Regions from separate parts of the Mus musculus genome. Here regions 1 and 2 are each reported to be linked to region 3. The links are microRNA targets in miRTarBase. Many come from high-throughput screens and were not tested one by one. Region 3 holds a microRNA gene; each other region holds the end of a gene's coding sequence.

Region 1 (6,732 bases), not on the chromosome of region 3:
AAAATTAATAAAATAATAATTTAGGCCTCCATTTCAGAGGGCAAGTCCAGGGCCATCATGGTGAGGAACATGGTGGCAGGCAGGCGGGCAGGCACGGTGCTGGTGCAGTAGCTAGGAGCTCACATCTGAGTTGGCAGAGAGAGCTAACTGGGAATAGCATGGGCTTCTAAAACCTCAAAGCCCAGCCCCAGTGACACACTTCCTCCCACAAGGCCACACCTCCTAATCCTTCCCAAACGTGTCCACCAGCTGGGGACCAAGCATTTAAATATAACAAGCCTATGATGTCCTTCTCATTCAAACCCCAACAATGGTGTTTGGAGAAGGATGGTCTGGCATCTGCAGAGAAGGAGCCACTCTGGAGGCATTCCCTAGAAAGATGAAAAGGAGAAACTAGTTGTTGGGGAGAGAAAAGCAGCTAGCCTTGTGGAAGAAAGCTGGCCCTGGGAGTATTATTCAGCCAGCCAGTGGGCACAGGTATGGAGACTAGAGTGTATGCTGTGAGCAGGGCCCACTGAGCTCCCTAGAGGCCCTTGCAGCCATGCTACAACTCTGCTTTATAGAAGTAGATGTTCTTGGGGGGTACTTTAGCTTCCTTTACCAGACCAGCCTTCTGTGGGCCAAACCAAGTCAAAAATGTTTTTTTTATAATGTTAGTTTTTACATTGTTCTTTTTTTTTTTCTTTTAAGTTTTATTTATTTATTATATGTAAGTACACTGTAGCTGTCTTCAGACACTCCAGAAGAGGGCGTCAGATCTCGTTACGGATGGTTGTGAGCCACCAATGTGGTTGCTGGGATTTGAACTCTGGACCTTCGGAAGAGCAGTCGGCGCTTTTAACCACTGAGCCATCTCGCCAGCCCCCAAAAATGGTTTTGTTCTTGCTTCGTCCTGGGATAGTTTAGGAAGCCCAAGGACCCTGGAACCTTTCTGAATCACAGGCCCAGCTCAACTCCTGGAGACTGGGAATCTGGCCTTGTTCCAGGCTATGGTACCAAGCTGGGCTGACATTGCAAAAGCAAGTAGGCACGAAGGAGCACTTGGCTGTGACCTGTGGCGGTGGTAGTAGTGGTGATGGTGGGATAGTGGGGTGGAGCATTTAGTGAGCCTCAGAGTGAGACTGAGAACTTAGTCCAGCGAGGGCAGCAGACACACGCCACTTCCAGCTGTCTGTAATATCAGTGTCTATTATCAGTCAATTGGCTCAGAGGAGTCTGAGTTGCACAGAGGAGCCTTGAAGCTGAGAAAGATATTCCACCCCTGCATAGGGCTTGCTCATTTTGTCTTGGTGTTTTATCGTTTGTTTGTTTTGACAGGCTCTTGCTTTATAGCCCAGGTTGGCACTCAAACTCACTATGTACCTCCAGGGTGGCCTCCTACTCATAGCAATCCTTCTGCCTCAGTGTGAGAACTTTAGGTATGAGAATTTTAGGTAGTAATACCTGATGTTTAAATGTACATAAAAGTAGGAAATGTAATATGGTGTATCCATATCCCTCTTGCCAATGTCCTCAATTGCTAGCCCCTCACAATGTATCTGTCACAGCTTAAGGAACTGACATGGGACCTTGCTGTGAACCTGTCAGACTTCATTTGCATTTGGCCAGTTCTTCCACTAATGCCCCAGGCCTGCTCCTGGATCCAGTGTTAGCTAGCACGTTGTACTCTGTCGTCAAGGCCCCCAGGCTCTATGACCTGTGACAGTTTTTTGCCCTATGAGTTGTCATCTTGATGGCCTTAAGGTGCCCTGGCCAGGATCTTGCAACACTGTCCGCTTTTCTTCTAATGCCCCTGGTCTTAAGCATTCCTGGTGTCTAGGCCAGGCTCAGCTGAGACTGCTTTGGGAGTTTCTGGGGCAGCCCTGCAATGTTGCAGGGCCCTTACAAGAGCCTAGGCTGCATTGGCAGTCTAGAAGCACCAAGACTTTCCTTATACCATTTTGAACTTTTAAACTATGACTGAAGGTAAGACTCTTAACTCTGTGTGTTTTCCCATCTGAAAACTGGGGCTAATCTGGTAGTTTGTTCACCTGCCAGGTTTGGAAGCACACACTGACCTCGAGATATATAGCCCCCAGTACAAAGTCAGGGGCGGGGCCAGGAAATGCAGGGAGATGGGAGAGACAATAACAATGGTGTCCCTTCCTAGGTCAGGGAAGATTGCCCCAGCCAAATGCCTGTATCCTGACCTTCACTGCAAAATAGGTAACAGTTTGATGTCAAAGGGCCAGGCATGCCCAGGCCCTTGAGGGATAGCAGTCAGGAAACTAGGTCAGGCTGGCAGGAAGGGAAAGGGGCAGCCTCTGTGGGCCAGGCTGTTACTATGGGACAGGGCCCAAGCCTCAGAGCCTGCCATTACGCATCTTCTCTTCCTCCCCAGATCTACCTGTCCTGGAAGAGCGGACCAGGTGAAGTGAAACACTGGAAGGACATGATCGCTCGTCCCCGGCAGCCTGTGGCCCAGTGGCACCAGCTGAAAGCCTGAGTGGGGCCAAGGGAGGCTCCAAGGGCCAAGGCCTGGCTCCCCATCATGCCCCTACCACTTTATGCACAATGCCCAGCCCGGCACCCCTGCCATGGTGAGGGGAGACCCCGAGGGCTCAGCCAGGGAGGGGTACCAGAACTCTACTGGGCCCCATTTCTAGGAAGTACCAGCCCCACCCCATGAGTCCAGCTCAGGGGTGGGGGCTTGGGAGCCATTCCCTGCTTTGCCTCTTTCTTTCCTGATTTGCTGATACTAAAGACGTGGGGGAGAGCTCAAGAGCCAGATGGGCAGATCCCTCCAGAGGCCCGCCAGGTGGGCATAGCCCCCGTTTTCTTTAAGGCAGTGCCTGGAGTGGAGAGAAGCCACCCCTTCCCTAGATCCCCTTTTTGGGGCCCAGAAGAGGAAGGCCGAGGCGTTTGGCCACGGCCTGGTCATCAGGCCCATCCCCAGCTTCAGGTGCCGGCTGGGCCCTGGACACTGAGGATAGTATATAGCCTGTGCTCCAGAGTCCTGGAGATGTGGCCCTGTGTATTTGTGTTGTGTCTACTGTGTGTGTGTGTGTGTGTGTGTGTGTGTGTGTGTGCCCACATGCGTGTACACATGTGCACCTGGAAGCTCATGCGCACGTGTGGGAAAGGGGGAGCTCACTCCCTATCGCCCTGGGACCAGCAGTGCTGATTGGCTATGGAAAATAGCAGAGTTTCGTGAGGATGAAGTAGGGCTGGGTCAGGTAGAGGTCAAGGCCACAGGGAAGGTAGGAGAGGAAGGGTATGGACGGCTGAGAAGAAGTGGGGACCAGGGCAAATGGCTGTTTCAGCTGCCTCCTGGCACCCACTTTGCCTGTCTCTGTAGCCCCCACCCCCACAATTCCCCAGTAGCAACTCTCTACTGCAATGTCGTCCCTTGGGCCTGGGCTCACACTTTGTAGGCACCTACTCACCGTGTGCATGGCCTTCCAACAGGGCACCACTCCCATCCTTCTCAGGCATTCCTAACCCCTCGCCCAGGGACCCCCACCTTTCCAAATCTCATTTTGCAGTCAAATTGGCATCTGCTCCACACTCTGGCTTGGATATAGCCCCCGATCCCCACCCCTTGCCCCGACACCTCCACCTTTTCTTTGCATAATCTGATCAACCCCTGGCCTTCTCCAGGCTGTCTTGACACATACCCCACCCCCACCCCTACCCCCACCCCAGAGTAGCAGCTCTTTCTGCCCCTCCCACCCACCACGCAAGCAGAGGAAGCGGGGAGCATTCCAGGAGTCTGAAGTTGCCATACCCAAAGAAGCTGTCGTCCCTTCTCCCCGCCTCTGCTGAGACTAGAACTGGCTTCCCTTTGGAAATAGCAGACTCCAGAATGATCCCTCTTAAGTCCTGTCGTCCCTCTGTGCTGTATTGAAAAGACCCAGCTGGTGAAAGAGCCTCAAAACCAATTCAGAGACTTGAGCCCAACATACCCTAATTCTACCACCAGGTGGCACCAGAACACCACATCTATGGTAGCAGTTGGGGACCATAAATACAGTTCTACCCTGACTGGCACCTTGACACCCCAAGGATGGAAGGGGCTCTGGACTGCATCTGCTTATCTAGAGCACAGTGGGAACACAGTTATGTGGGCACAGTTTCCTTCAGTGGGCTTCCCCTTAAGCTCACCCTTCTGCTCTAGGTGGGAGATCTCCTTTTGTCCATAGCAAAATGTCCTTAAATCAGATTTCACACCCTGTCCCCAGGGACCTGGAGGAATCCCTTATGTAGTAGGTGAATCATTCGTAGAGTGAATAATTCCATTGTAAAACAAATAGTTACCCATATTACTTGTAAATCTAAATGTTTGTATACTACAGCTTTTGCTTTAAATAGGACCATCCCCAACTCCCTTGCCCAGCTGGGTGTAACCCCAGGAAAGGGACCCTCCCAACTCCCTGCAGAGGCTGTGTGGGAACAGAAGAGGGTAATGTAGAAAGTCTGGAAACTCGAGAGAAATCGCTGCCATCCTTCCTTCCATCTGCCTCAGTCTCCTGAGTGCTTCCACCAAGGCATCCGAGGGGCCCGAGCAACCTGCACCAGCAGGTGTAAAGTTGGCAGCGGGTTTATGCAGAGCGTGCTCCTGCACCTCTTAGCCAGTCAGCTCAGCATCCCCCCACATAGCTGTTCTCCCCTCAGACTACTAGGAATAGTAGTGACCCAGCCTGGGTGGAGGGGTGGGGGGGCCAGCCAGACCTTGCAAACAGTGGGTGGAGAACAGAGTGGGTTTGCACAGGGTGCAGCTGGATGACACAGAGGCTGGGCATAAGATGTTAGGGCAACTGGGGGAACATGGAAATGGGGGGGAGGGACTTGAGGGTGAGGAGGGCACCAGAGCTCTGCCACCACTGTCCTAGGATCTTGGGCAAGTCACCCACACTCCCTGGGCCTCAGTTTCTCCATCTGTAAAATGATGGTAATAATACTTCACCTACCTCATGGGGGAGGTTGTGAGGCCACCATCACCTGACCTAGGGGGTCAAGGCAGGAGGGCTCTGAAGGTGCTACCCAGAGCAAAGTTGTCAGTGAGGCCTGAAAGCAAGGCCCACCTGCCAGTCCACCCTACCCCACAGAGCCTCTAGGGACCGCCAGAGCCAATCTGTCTCTTCACTGTGTCCCCACCCCCTTTATGAGCGTCATCTGACATCTTGTGGGCACCCTAGACTTAGTTGTTACATTGTTTAGGTAGCTTTTCTTGTGATCATCTTCTCTGTGTAACTGCTATACAAATTCCACCTGCCCCAGCACACCCCTCCACCTGCCCTCCAGCACCAGAGGCCAGGGAAGGGACAAAGGAAAACAGCCACAAAAGAAAAAAAAAAAAAAAAAAAGCCAAGGGGACTCCCAGCTCAGCTGGGGCCCCCAGGGGTGGGAACTGGTGGCGCTGTTTGTATTGTGTTTGAGTCCTTGAGCGCAAGTGTTTTATAAAAAATAAAACAAAAATCCACTATCACAAAAAAAGAAAAAAAATACAGCAAAGAGAACTGAAGACAAAAGGGAAAAAGAACCATACAATTTTTTTCCACCATATGCACCCTCTAAGCCAGCAAAATTTTCCTCTTTGCAAAATCATATTTTTGTGGGAATGGGCCCTGCTTTTTGTGGCAAGGCCTGTTCTGATTAATAAAGGATCGTGAAAAAGTAGGGCCTTGGCTGTTTCCTCTGTGGGTCCCAGCCCTCTCTCTCTCTTCTTCCAGGGGAAGCAACAGCTGGGATTGGAGGGACTGGGGAGTCTTGGGGGTGTCTCCACTCAGCTTGTCACCTGACACTTGACTTTTCATTGTGGCTTGGGCCTGCTGGAGCTGCCCGCTCACTCTCAGATCAAGACTAATCCCTACAATTCACCAGCTGCCCCAAAGTAGAGAATATTGCATGCCCCAGGTCAGACCTAAAGTCATCTCAGAAGTAGTGGGATCTCCCTGAGATCGCCAAGACCTCCCTTGGAGTCCAGCCTCACCATCACCTGCTCAGCTTCTATGACTTGGGGCCAATGTCTCCTTCCAGGTCCTGGCAGGGGAAAGAAAGGTAGTCTGAGCTCTAGGTCAGACTGCTGAATCTGTGGCCTTTCTCCAATCTATTGTCTAGGCTGATTCTCTATGGTTGGGGAAAAAAATCTCTCCAATCTAAAGAGCCCCATCGGCAAGTTCCAAGCTGAGGACCTGAGAGACTCCGGTGCCCTCCTGTATGTGGCTCTGGCAAGCCATGCCCTTTGCTGTGCTCTCAATGTCCTCTATTCACAAAGAAGCAATAATTTTCCAGCCACTCCCTGCTCTGTCCAGGGCAGCTGGCCTGCCAGTTCTCAGGGTACTGCAGAAGGCCAATCATATCTGCTTCAGATAGGCACTAAGGGGACCCCATAATTCCATGGGCCCTGCCCCACTCTGAAGTGAAGAGGGTCACATACCCTCTGTCCCCCACATCTGGGACCAGCAGCTGCCTCCTTAATCTGTACTAAGTACCCTCATTCTGAAGCAGCCTGCCCTTTCCCCTCTACCCCTTAACTTCCTAAGTGTAGTTTAGACATCCCTTTTAAAAGGTGTATGCAGGCTAGGGTATAGCTCAGAGGTACAGCTCCTGCCCTAGTGTGCACAAGCACCTGAGAGGGGATAAAACAGCTTCTGTTGGCTTCTATTCCAGAAGTTCGAGGGAGTCCTGGGGTCAGGTAAGTAGCTTCAGGCTCACCCTGGGTTTTGTTTAGCTTTTCTTTGGGAAAACAAG
Region 2 (6,732 bases), not on the chromosome of region 3:
GGAAAGCCTCAGGTCCCTCAGGGATGGAGATACAGATGCTGTGAGCTGCCATGTGGGTGCTGGGAATCAAACCTGGGTCCCCTGGAAGAGCAGCGAGTGCTCTTAACCACCGAGCCATCACTCCAGTTCCCTAGAGAATTACTTCTTGCCTGCTTTGTTTTGGCATCCCAACTTCCATCCCCCCCCCCCCCCCATATCTCGAAGTATCTTTTGTTTTGTTTTTAAATATGTTTTGTTTTTAAATATTTATTTATTTATTTATTATATGTAAATAGACACTCCAGAAGAGGGCATCAGATTTCGTTACGTTATGGATGGTTGTGAGCCACCATGTGGTTGCTGGGATTTAAACTCAGGACCTTTGGAAGAACAGTCGCGAGCCATCTCACCAGCCCGCCTTTTGTTTTATAACTGCACCAGAATCTGTATTGCAGCCGTAACTTGCTAGTGGATAATGACAGGAGTTTTAGAAGCCGTTTTGCAGTTTTCCTAAGCGCCACAGGAAGGCAGCGCCTCTTGAAACGTCTTTGGATTCCACTGGGGTACATTTGACTATCACACTTCATCTCCATCAGATGACAGTCCAGAGCAGCATCTGCCGTAGGATGTGACTACTTTCCTCTAGGTGGTGCTGTTGAGTTAAAAATATCCCTGAACCAACTCTACCGTTTGGTGCTTTACTAGCTGCCCAGCTCTTCTTATACTTTGTCTACTGAGGAAGCTAGAACCAGCCCCTTTCCTATCACCCCACACACCCACAGCCTGGTGACAGCCTCTCTTCACCCACTGCAACCATAACTCCCAGAGAGGTCCTCACCAGGGGATCTCTTTCCTGGTAGCACAACCAACCACACTTTGCTGGTGAGTCACATCGTCCCATGCTTCTAGGGCTGACCCTCCCTCTCCTCCCCCCACCCCGTGCTACACGGAAGTCTTCACACTTCATCTTTGCAGCAGCTCCGATATGGACTGAGTTTCCTCACTCATTTCCATTTGCCCACCTTTCTGCCAGGTATTCTACACGTATCTTATAGTTCAAGAACAGCAGCCCACTTCTCTTACTCTCCTTCTAAGGAACTGAGAGGAAGAGGTCTGGAGCAGTAGACGTTGTCTTACCCTGAAATGGCTAGTCCCTCTTCCTTGAAAGTCTAATCACCTCCCTCAGCCACATCTCTTATATGTTGTACAGTCTCTAGCATTATTTCTTATAGCCAGAGGAGCTCTACACGTTTCAGGAACCGTCTCGGGACTAGATTCTCCTGCCATGTACTCCACACTTAAAAGCAACAAAACAAAACAAAATAAACCACAGCAGCAGCAACAGAAAAAAAAGGGGGGGGGAGCTACATAGATAACTCACCAGGGTGCTCTGGTGAGTATCCAGGAAGACTTAAATCCCAACACTGAATAAAAGCAGCTATGGCTGTGGTGGCCACGCCTTTAATCCCAGCACTCGGGAGGCAGAGGCAGGCTGATTTCTGAGTTCGAGGCCAGCCTGGTCTACAGAGTGAGTTCCAGCTGTGGTGGCACATACTAACATCAGCACTGGGAGGGAGGTGGTCACAGGAGGCTCAGAAGTGCAAGGTCATTCTTGACTATGTGAGGAGTTCAAACAAGCCTAGGATATATGAATGCCATTCTTACAAAGGCAATAAAGAACAAAACTTAGTGTGTGTGTGTGTGTGTGTGTGTGTGTGAAGAGAGAGCTTAGCCATTAAGGCCACTTGCTGTTCTTCCACCTCTTTCCCCTCAGTTCCTTAGAAGGAGAGTAAGAGAAGTGGGCTGCTGTTCTTGAACTATAAGATACGTGTAGAATACCTGGCAGAAAGGTTGGCAAGTGGGAATGAGGGAGGAAGTTTCTAGTACCCACAGCAGGTAACTCATAACCATCTGTAACTCCAGCTTCAGAGGAGCTAACATCTTTTTCTGGTCTTTGCAGGCACTGGTACACACAAGGCTTATTATATCCATCCATCCATCCATCCATCCATCCATCCATCCATACACACACACACACACACCACCACCAACCCCACTTAGAAACATGTGTTAAAACTAGAAAGTGCAGCTCAGGAGTGCATTTGCCTAGCATACACAAGGCCCTGGGTTACATCCCCAGCACTGCCAATAAATAACCACACAATACAGACATAAATAAACATATATAAAATGACATGTTCCAAATATTTTACTAAAGCATTTATTTTCTTAAACAAAAATATACATTAAATCTCAGATTTACAGCATATAGAAATAATTTATGATTTGCATTTTAAATTATTAATATTGCACCCAGCAGTGTAAGTCTTTGACACATTTGCATTGCCAACCCTTCCCACCATTCAAAAACAAAAAACAAAACAAAAAAAACAAAAACAAAAGCGAAACTTGAAATTGACAAAATTACACAAGCTAAATTTTCCATAAAAAAAGGAAAACATACAATTCTTTTTATTTACATGGTAAAGTTGTAAACTTTCAGAAATTTACCTCTAGGAGATAGACATACATTCTTTCATCATATCTAGACAATGCATTATAAAAGTACAATTTAATGTTTTCCTGTCCTGTGTATAGAAGATGAACTACACATGATTTCCTCTTGGGAATTCACAGACTGCTATGAACATTTGCAAGGGGAAAGAAAGTTACCTACTACAACCCACAGAGGCCTTCAGTAGAGCAGGGGGACTGTTCTGTGAAAGAAATAAAATGAGAAAAATCCCCTGGGGGGAAAAATAAGTTACCTTTTCAAGGATATTTTCCTTAATCACCTAATGTTTTTTCCAAAATAAAAAACAAAAACGAAACGAAAAAACTGTTCTTTTTGTCTTAGACATAAGACAGATGCAAGAGCGAGGCTCCAAAAGACTTGTATAAAATACTTTCTGGGAAGGGGGACACAAGCAGTTTCTTTTCAACAGAGAACTCTGCAAAATATTCCCAAAGGTATCACTGATGCCCTCTGGGCTTTTTGTTTGTTTGTTTAAACTTATCTGTTCTGAACAGTAGACCTCTCGTTTACTTCCAGGAAACACAGGGGAAAGTTCTCCACAGACTCCCTACCAGGTAAGTCTATGCTCCTGACAGTGGGACAAACTACCAGGAAAGCTCACACTCAAGACCAAGCAATGGAGTTGCACATGGGCATATACACACACAATTTCCTAGTGTTTTAAGTAATTTTAACCATTTTTGTATTGGGCTATATTCATAGTTCTCCTTGCCTGGATGTGGCCACCGGCAGCAGTTTGGATACACCTTTGTATGTATTATTCTCCTCTGTTGTGGGCAGTAGTAACAATGTTCCCATCACTTAAGAGTCAAGGCTCTTGTTTCTCCCCTCCCACCCCGCAACCTCCCAGTCCATCCAGTGACTGGGAAGAGCTAAATAGTGTTGTCTTCCAAAGGAAACCACAAGGAAAATTTCAGTAGGCATAGTCCTGTCCCTTTCTAGTCAATTTTAGGTGATCCATAATTGTGTCTATTTATAGGACATCACGTGATGTTTCTTCCATTTTATACTGCTATGGGACCTAAGACTCCAGCTTTGCCACCAAGCCACAAGGTGGCCTGCCATGTTCCTCAGCACATGTATATTGTATAAAGTTGACATCACATTTTTTCCATTTCTCAGTTATCACTTCTTGTTGAAAACATTTAAATCCCTTTCGTCTAGCATTTCTGAAACACACATTCCATTATCATGATCTATTATCATGATCCCTTACGGTGCAAGAGATGCCACAATTTATTTCTCTTATCTAAATGGTACTTAATACTAGTTGATAATGTCCTCAGCTTTTAAAAAATATTTTTTTGTCATTTTTAAAAATTTAAAATTAAAGTAGAGAGTCAAACCGCTTGGTAGTACAGAGAAATACCAAATAGTAAAAAAACATGGGATACATTATTTAGCTTGGTAGTAAAATCAAAACCAGAGTGAAATGTTGCACCTAAATCATTCAATCAAGGAAACTTGTTTCAAATTTCGAAAGTTGGTAGAAAGAAACAGGGAGCCCCAACAAGGTCTGAAAAAGTCATTAAACCACTTCCTGTCAGGTGATAAACATTAGCAACCCTTTGTTACTGCACCCATACATTAAAAACAGATTTTCTGTTTTCTTCTTTTGAAAGATGACAAGCAGAGGGGGGAGTGCATCTGAGAAATCCACATTTGAGGCCACAGAGAGAAGAGTGTAATTGTAACTTTGTAGTGTAGTAGTGTCCTTCCAGCTGAAATGGGAGACTTTTCTAAACTCTGCCGTCTTCCATTAGGCCAGGATTAAAAAAAAAAAAGTTCCCTTTGAATCTCAGCAGACACAATCCGCTGAATAACAGGTGGTGTCTTGGCTTTGCGATTGCTTAACAGCACAATCCTAGAAGTTTATTGAAAAGGTTATTGTCATCAGTGACAACTTCAGTTTGTTTGTGTTTTTAAAAAGGTCCTGAGTCGTTCATTAAAGAAAAAAACAAAAACAAAAACAAAACGTCTTCCCAGCGCTCCGGTCTCTCAGCAGAGCAATGCCAATCAGCTCTCCACTGTGCGCCGGTACTCAGCCGTGCCATCCGCGATGATGGCATCCAGGGGCGAGCGCTTCTTGCGGATGCTGCGGCCAGAGGAGATGAGGTCTGCGTAGCCTCTCTGATGCGAAAAGGCATAGGCTGAGCGCCTGGAAGATACTCCCCTCCGGAACACGCTCTGCCGCCGTTTCCACTGCTCTTCAGCCTTCAATCGCTTTCGATGCTTCTGGATCTGGAGAGAGAAAACCAAGAAGAGACAGATCTGAGATGCACAGGTCGCCTAGCCAATAGAAGCTGGGCAGAAGCTAGCCCCGCGGAGAGCCTTTACACCCTTATGCACACACAAATGCCCCCCCCCCTTTTCTGGACTAGCGGGACATGAAGGGTCTGGAGGGTTGGGGACTATTTCCACTATCCTACAGGTAGATTTTGGAAAACTATTGCCAGGCATTTAATTCCAGTACTCAAAAGATGGAGGTATCTTGGAGGTCAGCCTGGTCTATATTGCAAGTTCCAGGAAAACCAAGCCTCGCACTTTTCATTATTTCCTGTCAACTTGACACAAACTAGATTCATTTGAGAAGGAATGTTAATTAAGAAGCTGCCTCCATCAGATTGGCCTGTAGGCAAGACTATAGGGCATTATCTTGATTAGTGGTTGGTATGGGAGGGCGCAGCCCAATGTGAGGGTTCCACCCCTGAATAGAAGATTCTGGGTAGTATAAGAAAGTAGGCTCAGCATGCCGTAGAGAACAAGCCAGTGAGCAGCACCCCTCCAGCAGTTCTTGATTCAGTTTCTGACTCCACGATCCTGCTTGACCGACCTTCTGCCCTGGCTTCCCTCAGTGGTAGCTTGTGACCTGGGAGTCATATGATGAAATAAACCTTTGCTTCCCCGAATTGTGTTGGCCATGCTATTTATCAGAGCAGTAGAAAGCAAACTAGGCTGCTAAGCTAACATTCTTTGTGAATCCCAGGGCAGACTGGTATGTGTTGACAAACCTCAAAGGCATGTTACAGCATAGTCTGTCTGTCTGTCTTTCTCTTTCTTGTTCTCTCTCTCTCTCTCTCTCTCTCTCTCTCTCTCTCTCAGTGTGTGTGTGTGTGTTCATATGTGCAGGTGCTTGTATATGTGTGTACATGACTATAGAAGCTAGAGATGGATGTCTGGTGTCTCCCTCTATCCCCTCCACCCTAATTTTTGAGATAGGATTTGTCATAGAATCAATTCAGGAGCCCACAGATTCAGCGACACTGGCCAGCAAGCCCCAGGAATCCTCCTGTCCCCACATCTGGAGATGCAGGGTGCCAGGTGAAGTTGTTAGTATGTGTGCTGGAACCCAGACTCAAGTTCTTCTTTCTTGCACTTAGAGAACTGAGGTCTATCTCTTCTCTTGTTTACCAAGCACTGTCACAGTGTTCTCCTGGGCCCTTGCTTAGCTAACATCCACCCTCACCTTACCATAGAATGCCGATTTATAAAGGTAAGCACCTCTCCTCTCTACAGTGACATTCTTCATAAGAGAGGGAGTTTTATCTCGTTGGCTATTAGTTCAATGTACAGCCTAATTCTGACAAATGACATCTGAGAAAAGTACACGTTCAAAGTTCCCAGGATCCTGAGGGAAAGGATGGAAGCCTTGTCCCCATTTATCGATGTGATGCCAGGAACTGCTGTGGCCACCTTACAGCATGAGATGAAACTAATAAAGAAGACACTCCCTTCAGAAGTGTGACGGGAAAAGCAATGTTAAATTGCTCAACAACGGGGCCTGAAGTCGGCTGATCATTACGCAAGGGGCTCATTACACTGTTTTTGAGACATTGATTGTACTATCAGATATGATATTTGCTTTAAATAAGGAGGGTGGGTGGGTGGGGGGAGAGAGGAGATCACCCTCTCAGAGGCAAAGGGGAGGGGGAATTGGATAAAGAACTGTGGGAGCAGGGACTGGGAGGGGGGCAACGTCTGGAATGTAAATAAAATAATCAATTAAAAAAATAAGGGGAGGGGAAAAGAAGCCCAAACCATTAGCATGGCAAATTGTTAAGATAACTGTAAAACCAAAGGGACAAGACCTGCTTCACTGTGTGAACAAACGTCTGAAGGTTCACGATCGATCACGATGGAATTAAAGAGAAAGAGTGAAACAACAAAATTCTTATCAGCCTTCCCACAGGCTTTCAGCAGGACAGGTAGTGATGGGG
Region 3 (6,732 bases):
ACTACCATAACAGGCACATATGTTGCAAGTACTGAGGATGCTGTCTCCAAGTCTAACAGCGTACAGCTGGCTTATTGCCTCTGTCCCCAAAAGTTGAGATCTCTTCCAGGAAGTTCTCCAAGGGAAGGTTAGATACTGAGGGTTAGTGGACCAGGTCACAAACGGCACAAATATAGCGTGTGCTCTCTGGTCAACCACCTCACGCACCCACACGTGTATCACATGTCGATGCCACTTTCCTGGTCTGCAAGTCACCCTGCCCACGAAGCTGCCAAGCCAGAGAAATTTGCTGAGAAGAAGGCTGCCACACAAGAGTTATTGTCAGACACAAGAAAAGACAAACCCGCTGGCTGGGTTGCGCTAGCACACACATTTAGTGTCCCCACCCCACAGCTGGTGTTAGCTCCAGGAAAGCTCGCAAGGCGGGATTAGATACCGCAAAGAGGTCGACCGTGTAATGTGCGCCATAAATGAAGCGAACGCGCCACGGACCACCTCTCTCCAAGTACCAAGCAGCAGCAGTAGGAAGACCGGGACACTGGCTCTTCCTCAAAGCAGATGTCACCTCCTGGAAGTCTTCCAAGGCGAGATGTGATATTGAGAAGAAGTAGACCATGTGTCCTACGTCATAAATAAAGCGTACACACCATGGTCAACCGCATCTTCAAATACCTTGAGGTAACGCTGGCTGATTCCAGCTCACTTTACTTAATTTGGTGTTACCTCCAAAATGCCTTCTCAATGAGTGTCACAAACTACCAGCAATCGGCATGTGTGGCAATGGCCACAAACTCATGTTTAATGCCACTATGACTTCCAGGATGCCCTGTAAGGCTGGGCTGGGTGCCAAATATTGGCTTTGGATCAAATGGCCAGAGTCGTAGGTAATGAACATGGCCTGTAGCCAAGCACTGGGTAATCTGTGTTGGATAGGGTCTGCCGCCTGAGCCCTACTCTCAATTGGTATGGCTTTCAGAAAGCCCCTGGTGACCGGCTGATGCAGAGATGTGGTGGACCATGCTGTACATGCTGGAATTAACGCACACACTCGACAGTCTACCATCTCCCCAAGTACTGTGCTGAAGCCAGGACAGGATATCTCCCATGAAGTTGGCTCGGTCTCTGGAAAACCCTCACGAATGACTTTGATAACGAGAAGATGTGGACCATACTACATACGACACAGAAGTAGCGCATGTTCTATGGTCAACCATCTTTTCAGGTACCATGGAGAGAGGGTGGTGCAGGAGCTGGCTTCTTTCCTCATGATTATCACTTCCAGGAAACCCTAGATGCAATGTTGAAAAGAGACCACCATGCATTGCCTGCTGCAGATGCAGAGAATATAGCAAAGAGAAGTTTGCAAGGACGCGAAGAGAAGACCCCGTAACTAGCACTGTGCCTTTAAGGAAATATTGTTCACAGGAAGCCCCCAAGGCGCATTCACTATTATGGGAAGGTGGACCAAATTAACATGCGCTGTAAGTAAAGCAAGAAGCATGGACAACCTCTACCCCAAGGCATTTGTCCTTCTGCCTTGCCCCCCCACCCCCAAGGTTAATGGGGCCTCTTTGGAAACCTTCAAAGCTGAAGTTGATATTGAAAAGAGTAGGCCAGGTTACAAATGGTGTTAATAATACACATGCAGTTTGCTTGATCCCTCTTCAGGTACCGTGAGGTCATTGCTGATGCAAGAACCAGAGCCCTGTCTCTGAGGCTAGCAGCATCTTCAGCAAGTTCTCCAAGGCTGGGCTGGAGGTAAGAAGAAGTGAGCCAAGAAGCAACTTTGATCTGTAAGCATACATGGAGGAGCCAGGCTGGGTCATCTTCCTCTAGAAGGCTAGACTTGATATGGAAAAAAAGATACTATATACGAAGCATCAGTGGAAACAGGGACTGTGTCTTCATGCATCTGTCTTTGCACTGTATCATGTAGCCCTAGCTGTCCTTCTATGGGCATAATGTCTTGAAGGCATCTGATGATAGCTTTGCAGATGATGAAAACACGCAGCATCCCTTGATGATGAGCATCTGTGGAGCTAATTGCCACTTTTTCAAGTCCTAAGGAGGGAGGGAGCATGCCCAGTTGGGATGTAGGACACCTTCCTGGAGGTTGTCATCATCCTTGAAGAAGCCCTTAAGGGCTGCACTGAAGCTGACAGGAACACCTTGCCACATGAATTAACAGAGAAAGCACACAAAAAGCAGAGGGATGTTTGGCCAAGCAGCCCGATGTAGAGAGCAAGCCAAAACAACGTTTCTTCTCTCACTTCAGGCTTGCTCGAGGATGGTATGGACTGGATGGCTGGGCTGGATACCAAGAAGCGGTTTACCGTCCCACATACATACTCAAAATGTATGTGGGACGGTAAACCATTTCTTCAAGTACCGCGTGACAGCAAGGACAGCTGTAAGAAGGTTCATGTCTGCCAGGTTGCCTCAGGACACCTCTTCAGGGATGGTGTTGAGAAGAAGCAGGTCATGGAGTCTACTAACCAAGAGTCGCCTAGACACCCCTGTCACTGAGGTCACGAAGAGCACTGATCCCAGAAAGCTTTGTGGTCTCCTCCCCAGAGATGGCAAGAGTTCCCAAGGCAGAGCTCAGCAGAGGAAGGGGGAGATTATGTCATTTCCCATCATGCAGGAAAGAACACACGCCATATTGAAAACCATCTCTTCCAGCATCATGGAGAAGCCCTGATGATGAGTCTACTGGCGTCTCCCCGAAGACAGCATCTTCTCCAGGGGCCTCGGGGATGGATTTGATACTGAGGGTTAGTGGACCGTGTTACATACGTCACAGATAAAGCGTACGCTATACGGTCTACTATCTCTCCAAGTACCACACAGAGACGCCGAGGACAAAGGCTGAGGGCACGTCCAGGAAGCCCTCTGGGCCATTGAGCTGGTGGAATCTTGAGTCTGGCTGGGCACAAAGCATGCATCATGCGGCAGGCACACAAAAGCCAAGAGTCTCATCTTCATGTCAGGTTTGACACCAGCAACTCATCCCCAAAATCGGCAGCTCTTCCAAAAGCTCATAAAGGTTGCAGACAAACGATGCTGTGGGGGTTACTACTCCACAAATGCTGCTGAAGTGCCTACCGGGTGCTGAAGGAATGGGCACTCAGGGACAGTAGGCATAAGGGCATGCACGGCAGGGGGCTAATGTGCAGGAGTGGTGCCAAATTAGGAAAGCCAAATATCCTGTACGCAATAAAAAAACAAAGATGACCTGGCTAGTTAAAGCAGGCCAAGCACATGGATCAGGGCATTGGAAGCCCTGCCCTATCTCCTTGTGAGACCAAATCATAACCATAGGAAAAGGGTGCCACCAGAAAAAAAAAGACAATGGCACATCTGTTTCAATCAAAGGCAGTTCCAGGAAGCCTTCTAAGGCATAGTGAACTTTAAAAAAAAAAAAAAAAAAAAAGGTATTATTTGGGTCAACCATCTCCCTAAACTCAAAACTACTATTTCATCCCCACTTGGCACTGCCACTAAAAACCCAACTGAACTGAGGCTGGACTTGAACTTGAGAAGAGGTAGATGTTAGCATTTCCTCAATGCTCAGAGCAGGGTAGATGCTAAACAGGTAGGTCTCCCTTGAGGGAAAATGGGCTCCACAAAGCCTCCAGAGCTGGCTGGTTTGGAGATGTCCCATAGACATCTCATGCATTTCACATGGAAAGACCATGTCTTCGGGTCCTAGGACTCAAGCTCCCAAAAGTCTCCTAGAGGGCTCACTGGGGGCCCAGAAGATGGTGGTCTTGCTGTAGATCAGATATCAGCCATAGCAACTGAAAGTACACGGAGTGGGTGAGGATGAACCGATTCTCTTCCTCGCTGTTGGTAACACCTCCGGGGTGCCCTCCGAGGATGGATTGGATACTGAGAGTTAGTGGACCATGTTACATAGGTCAAAAACATAACGCCTACGTTCCATAGTCTACCATCTCTTCAGGAACCATGGAACGGTGTTGACCCCTAGAAACTTGGGCCTTGTCCCTGAAGCTGGCGTCACTTCCAGAAAGCTTTTCTGAGGCCTGATTTGGCAGTGGGAAGCAGATGTGGTGAACAACACACCCTCCTTGAATGGTTGCACGGTGCTGAAAGAGAGGCGGCACCTCCCCCCTCAGGTAGTACATTACCAGATGAAGGCCACACTAACTCAGAAAAATGAACCACTGTGCTGACTATATTCTAACCATTTTGATCTTAGTCTTGGTCAAACTGAAGGCCAATGGTCAGCTTGTCTCAACAAAGGGGACACCACAATGGCATAGATCACCATGTGAAAGACCTCTAGTTGTGAAAGACCTGCCATGTACCAGATATGTAGACATAAACTCAAGGCTCAGAGGACAAGTACTTCCAAAGTTCATAGTGAGAACCCTCCCCTCTGATGGTACCTTAATGGGTATAAAACTATGAGACTTTATAGTCTCCAGGGAAGCCCAAGGGAGGTTCCTGGGTATGAGCATCTATCAAGGACTTAGAGACCAGTGTCTACTGGGCCACATCCCTGCATGCTACCTCTGAATGGTCCTCAGGTCATCTTCAGTTTATTTCCTGTTTCCAAATGGGTGAGTCAATTCTAAACCCCATGTGGTGTTTTGCTCAGTCCATACTTTCATAATGGCAAGAGCATCATTGCTTATATCATTCTCAAATCAAACAACTGGCTGCCTCTTCCAAAGTTCCGTATTATCCCATCAAGTAGCTGCCTAGCCTGCCCCAACCAGCCTTATGCCATAGACCTATGCCTCTCCTCTAGCCCAATGACTTTCCATGGGTTCCATCTTGACCATGAAACATCTGCAGGGCATGCAGTCAGAGCAAAGAGACACCATGCTATGCCTTCCAGTAGACTCCAACTTAGCAGGGAAAACTCCCATGAAAATGAATTCTAGAGAAGATGGACTTCAAGAGGCAAAGGCTAAAGAGGTCCAAAGGAATAAAAGTGTATTTGCAAGATCTGGGAGACTTCTGCCAAGTTTTGAGGAGAGGAGGATGAAAGAAAGGATACAGAGAGTAAGGGCAGATGAGAGTAAGCAGTGGCCTGAGTAAAGAGAGGAGAAGAGAGGAGAGGAGAGGAGAGGAGAGGAGAGGAGAGGAGAGGAGAGGAGAGGAGAGGAGAGGAGAGGAGAGGAGAGGAGAGGAGAGGAGAGGAGAGGAGAGGAGAGAGGATGGGTGAGAGGAAGGAGGGGGAGGGGAGGGGGGAAGAGAGGGAAGGGGAGGGAGGGGAGGGAAGGGGAGGGGGAGAAGAGAGGGAAGGGGAGGGAGGGGAGGGGAGGAAGAGAGGGAAGGAGAGAGAGGGGAGGGGAGGGGAGTCAGACTGAGACAGAGTGGGGATTGAGGAGCCCATCATGCTGTCCAGAGCATTTCTGTGATGGGGATGAAGCAGGTGGAACCAGAAGTAAGCCTGGTGGAGCACAGGTCATACAAGGCTTTCTAACAATGGTGAAAGTCCTTGAACTTTACCTTGGGACCAAAGGGAAGATACTCCCAGTTGGTAAAGGTCATAGTGAGTTGCATTTTGGTAGCAAGCGCAGGTGCAAAGAGCAAGAGCTCAAGAGGGAAAATGAAAACCAGGTAGCAAAGAAGTCACAGACATGGAGCAGAGAGGACAGGGTTGAGATCCCAGGAGGAAAAACCAGGGTATCCCAGTGTAGGTGTGGGGTGGCAGGTGGTAATTAAGTAAGTGTTCAGAGAAATGCATACATGCACCCACGCGCGCGCGCGCACACACACACACACACACACACACGCACGCACGCACGCACGCACGCACGCACGCACGCACACGCACACGGGGGGGGGGGGGAGACAGAGAGACACAGAGAGACAGAGACACAGAGAGACAGAGACACATAGGGCTGGTGGAGGGGGGCATTTGGGCGGCCGGCTTGCTACAGGCAGTAGAGTCAGGTTGAGATTAACTTCACAGTGGGTGGAGCCTTAGGCACAGGTGAGCGTTCAGAAGAGAGGCTGCTCCCATGCACAGGGGTCCATTTAATGGGAATGGTGGCAGGGAGCCAAATATGTGAGTTCTGCAAAGCTGCCAAGAGGGAAGGGAGCTGAAACAGGTTGTTGAAAGATCTAAGGATGAAGGAACTCACTAGAGTACTGTAAGAAGTGAAGGGTAGTTGACAACAGAATGGAGAAGTGTGTAAGATTCTAGAAGAGATAGAGGGTGGGGTGGAAGCTCAGAGCCCCATGCCATTGGGGTGGGGGAGGCACAAAGTACTCCAAGAAACAAAGGAACAATGGGATGAGGCTGAGGTAGGAAGTCCCTGTTCAGAAAGCATTAGAGGAAAAGTCACCGGCATCTTCCTCTTGTTTTAGGGACAGAAAGTGCATCTATGGTCCTCAGATCTGCAATCCTGTGCTAAGCACAGAGTACACATGCATGCCACAGTGTAAGATGAAAGGAAGAGCGAACGCCAAATGACGAAGCCAGATTCTCAAGAGTGCCTGGAGAGCTGAGCTTTCTGCCTATAGCCCTACACCCTTGAGCCAGCTTGGTCTGAAACATCTCCATCCAGTCTGGCTTTTCTCATCTCCCTGGCTCAGGCTCTCATCCATCTCTCTTCTTCTGTTCCCCCAGGTACTCCCCTCCCCTAAGAATCCACTTTGACACATGGTCACAGGCTTGAGCTTTGCCCTCATGTGCAGATTCTCAGTCTCTGTAGATTCTCAACACGCGATTACACATGTCTAACTAATGCC

The links. Region 3 holds the annotated microRNA mmu-miR-411-5p (UAGUAGACCGUAUAGCGUACG, at 2,810-2,830, opposite strand). A microRNA usually pairs through its seed, bases 2 to 8, with sites in the 3' UTR of a target mRNA and lowers its output. Matches are read on the target gene's strand: a 7mer-m8 pairs with bases 2 to 8, a 7mer-A1 pairs with bases 2 to 7 and ends in A, and an 8mer does both.
Region 1: the mRNA of Syt7 is a reported target of mmu-miR-411-5p. Seed matches in the 3' UTR shown: 7mer-m8 at 3,027-3,033.
Region 2: miRTarBase lists Atp8b1 as a target of mmu-miR-411-5p. Seed matches in the 3' UTR shown: 7mer-m8 at 3,008-3,014.

What each region holds. Positions count from the first base shown.
Region 1 is chr19:10,445,960-10,452,691 of GRCm38, forward strand. It overlaps Syt7 (synaptotagmin VII), which reads left to right. Exons shown (of 12, transcript NM_001373944.1): 12 at 2,381-5,658. The coding sequence ends at 2,485. Among named protein-coding and RNA genes, the nearest start is that of Lrrc10b, 8.1 kb to the right of the region's middle.
Region 2 is chr18:64,526,809-64,533,540 of GRCm38, forward strand. Atp8b1 (ATPase, class I, type 8B, member 1) reads right to left here. Exons shown (of 28, transcript NM_001001488.3): 28 at 2,171-4,756. The coding sequence ends at 4,532. Among named protein-coding and RNA genes, the nearest start is that of Nars, 14 kb to the left of the region's middle.
Region 3 is chr12:109,706,288-109,713,019 of GRCm38, reverse strand. It overlaps Mir411 (microRNA 411), which reads right to left and starts at 2,845; the gene lies at 2,764-2,845. It overlaps Mir379 (microRNA 379), which reads right to left and starts at 3,960; the gene lies at 3,895-3,960. It overlaps Mir299a (microRNA 299a), which reads right to left and starts at 2,382; the gene lies at 2,320-2,382. It overlaps Mir299b (microRNA 299b), which reads left to right and starts at 2,327; the gene lies at 2,327-2,375. It also overlaps Mir380, Mir1197, Mir323 and Mir758.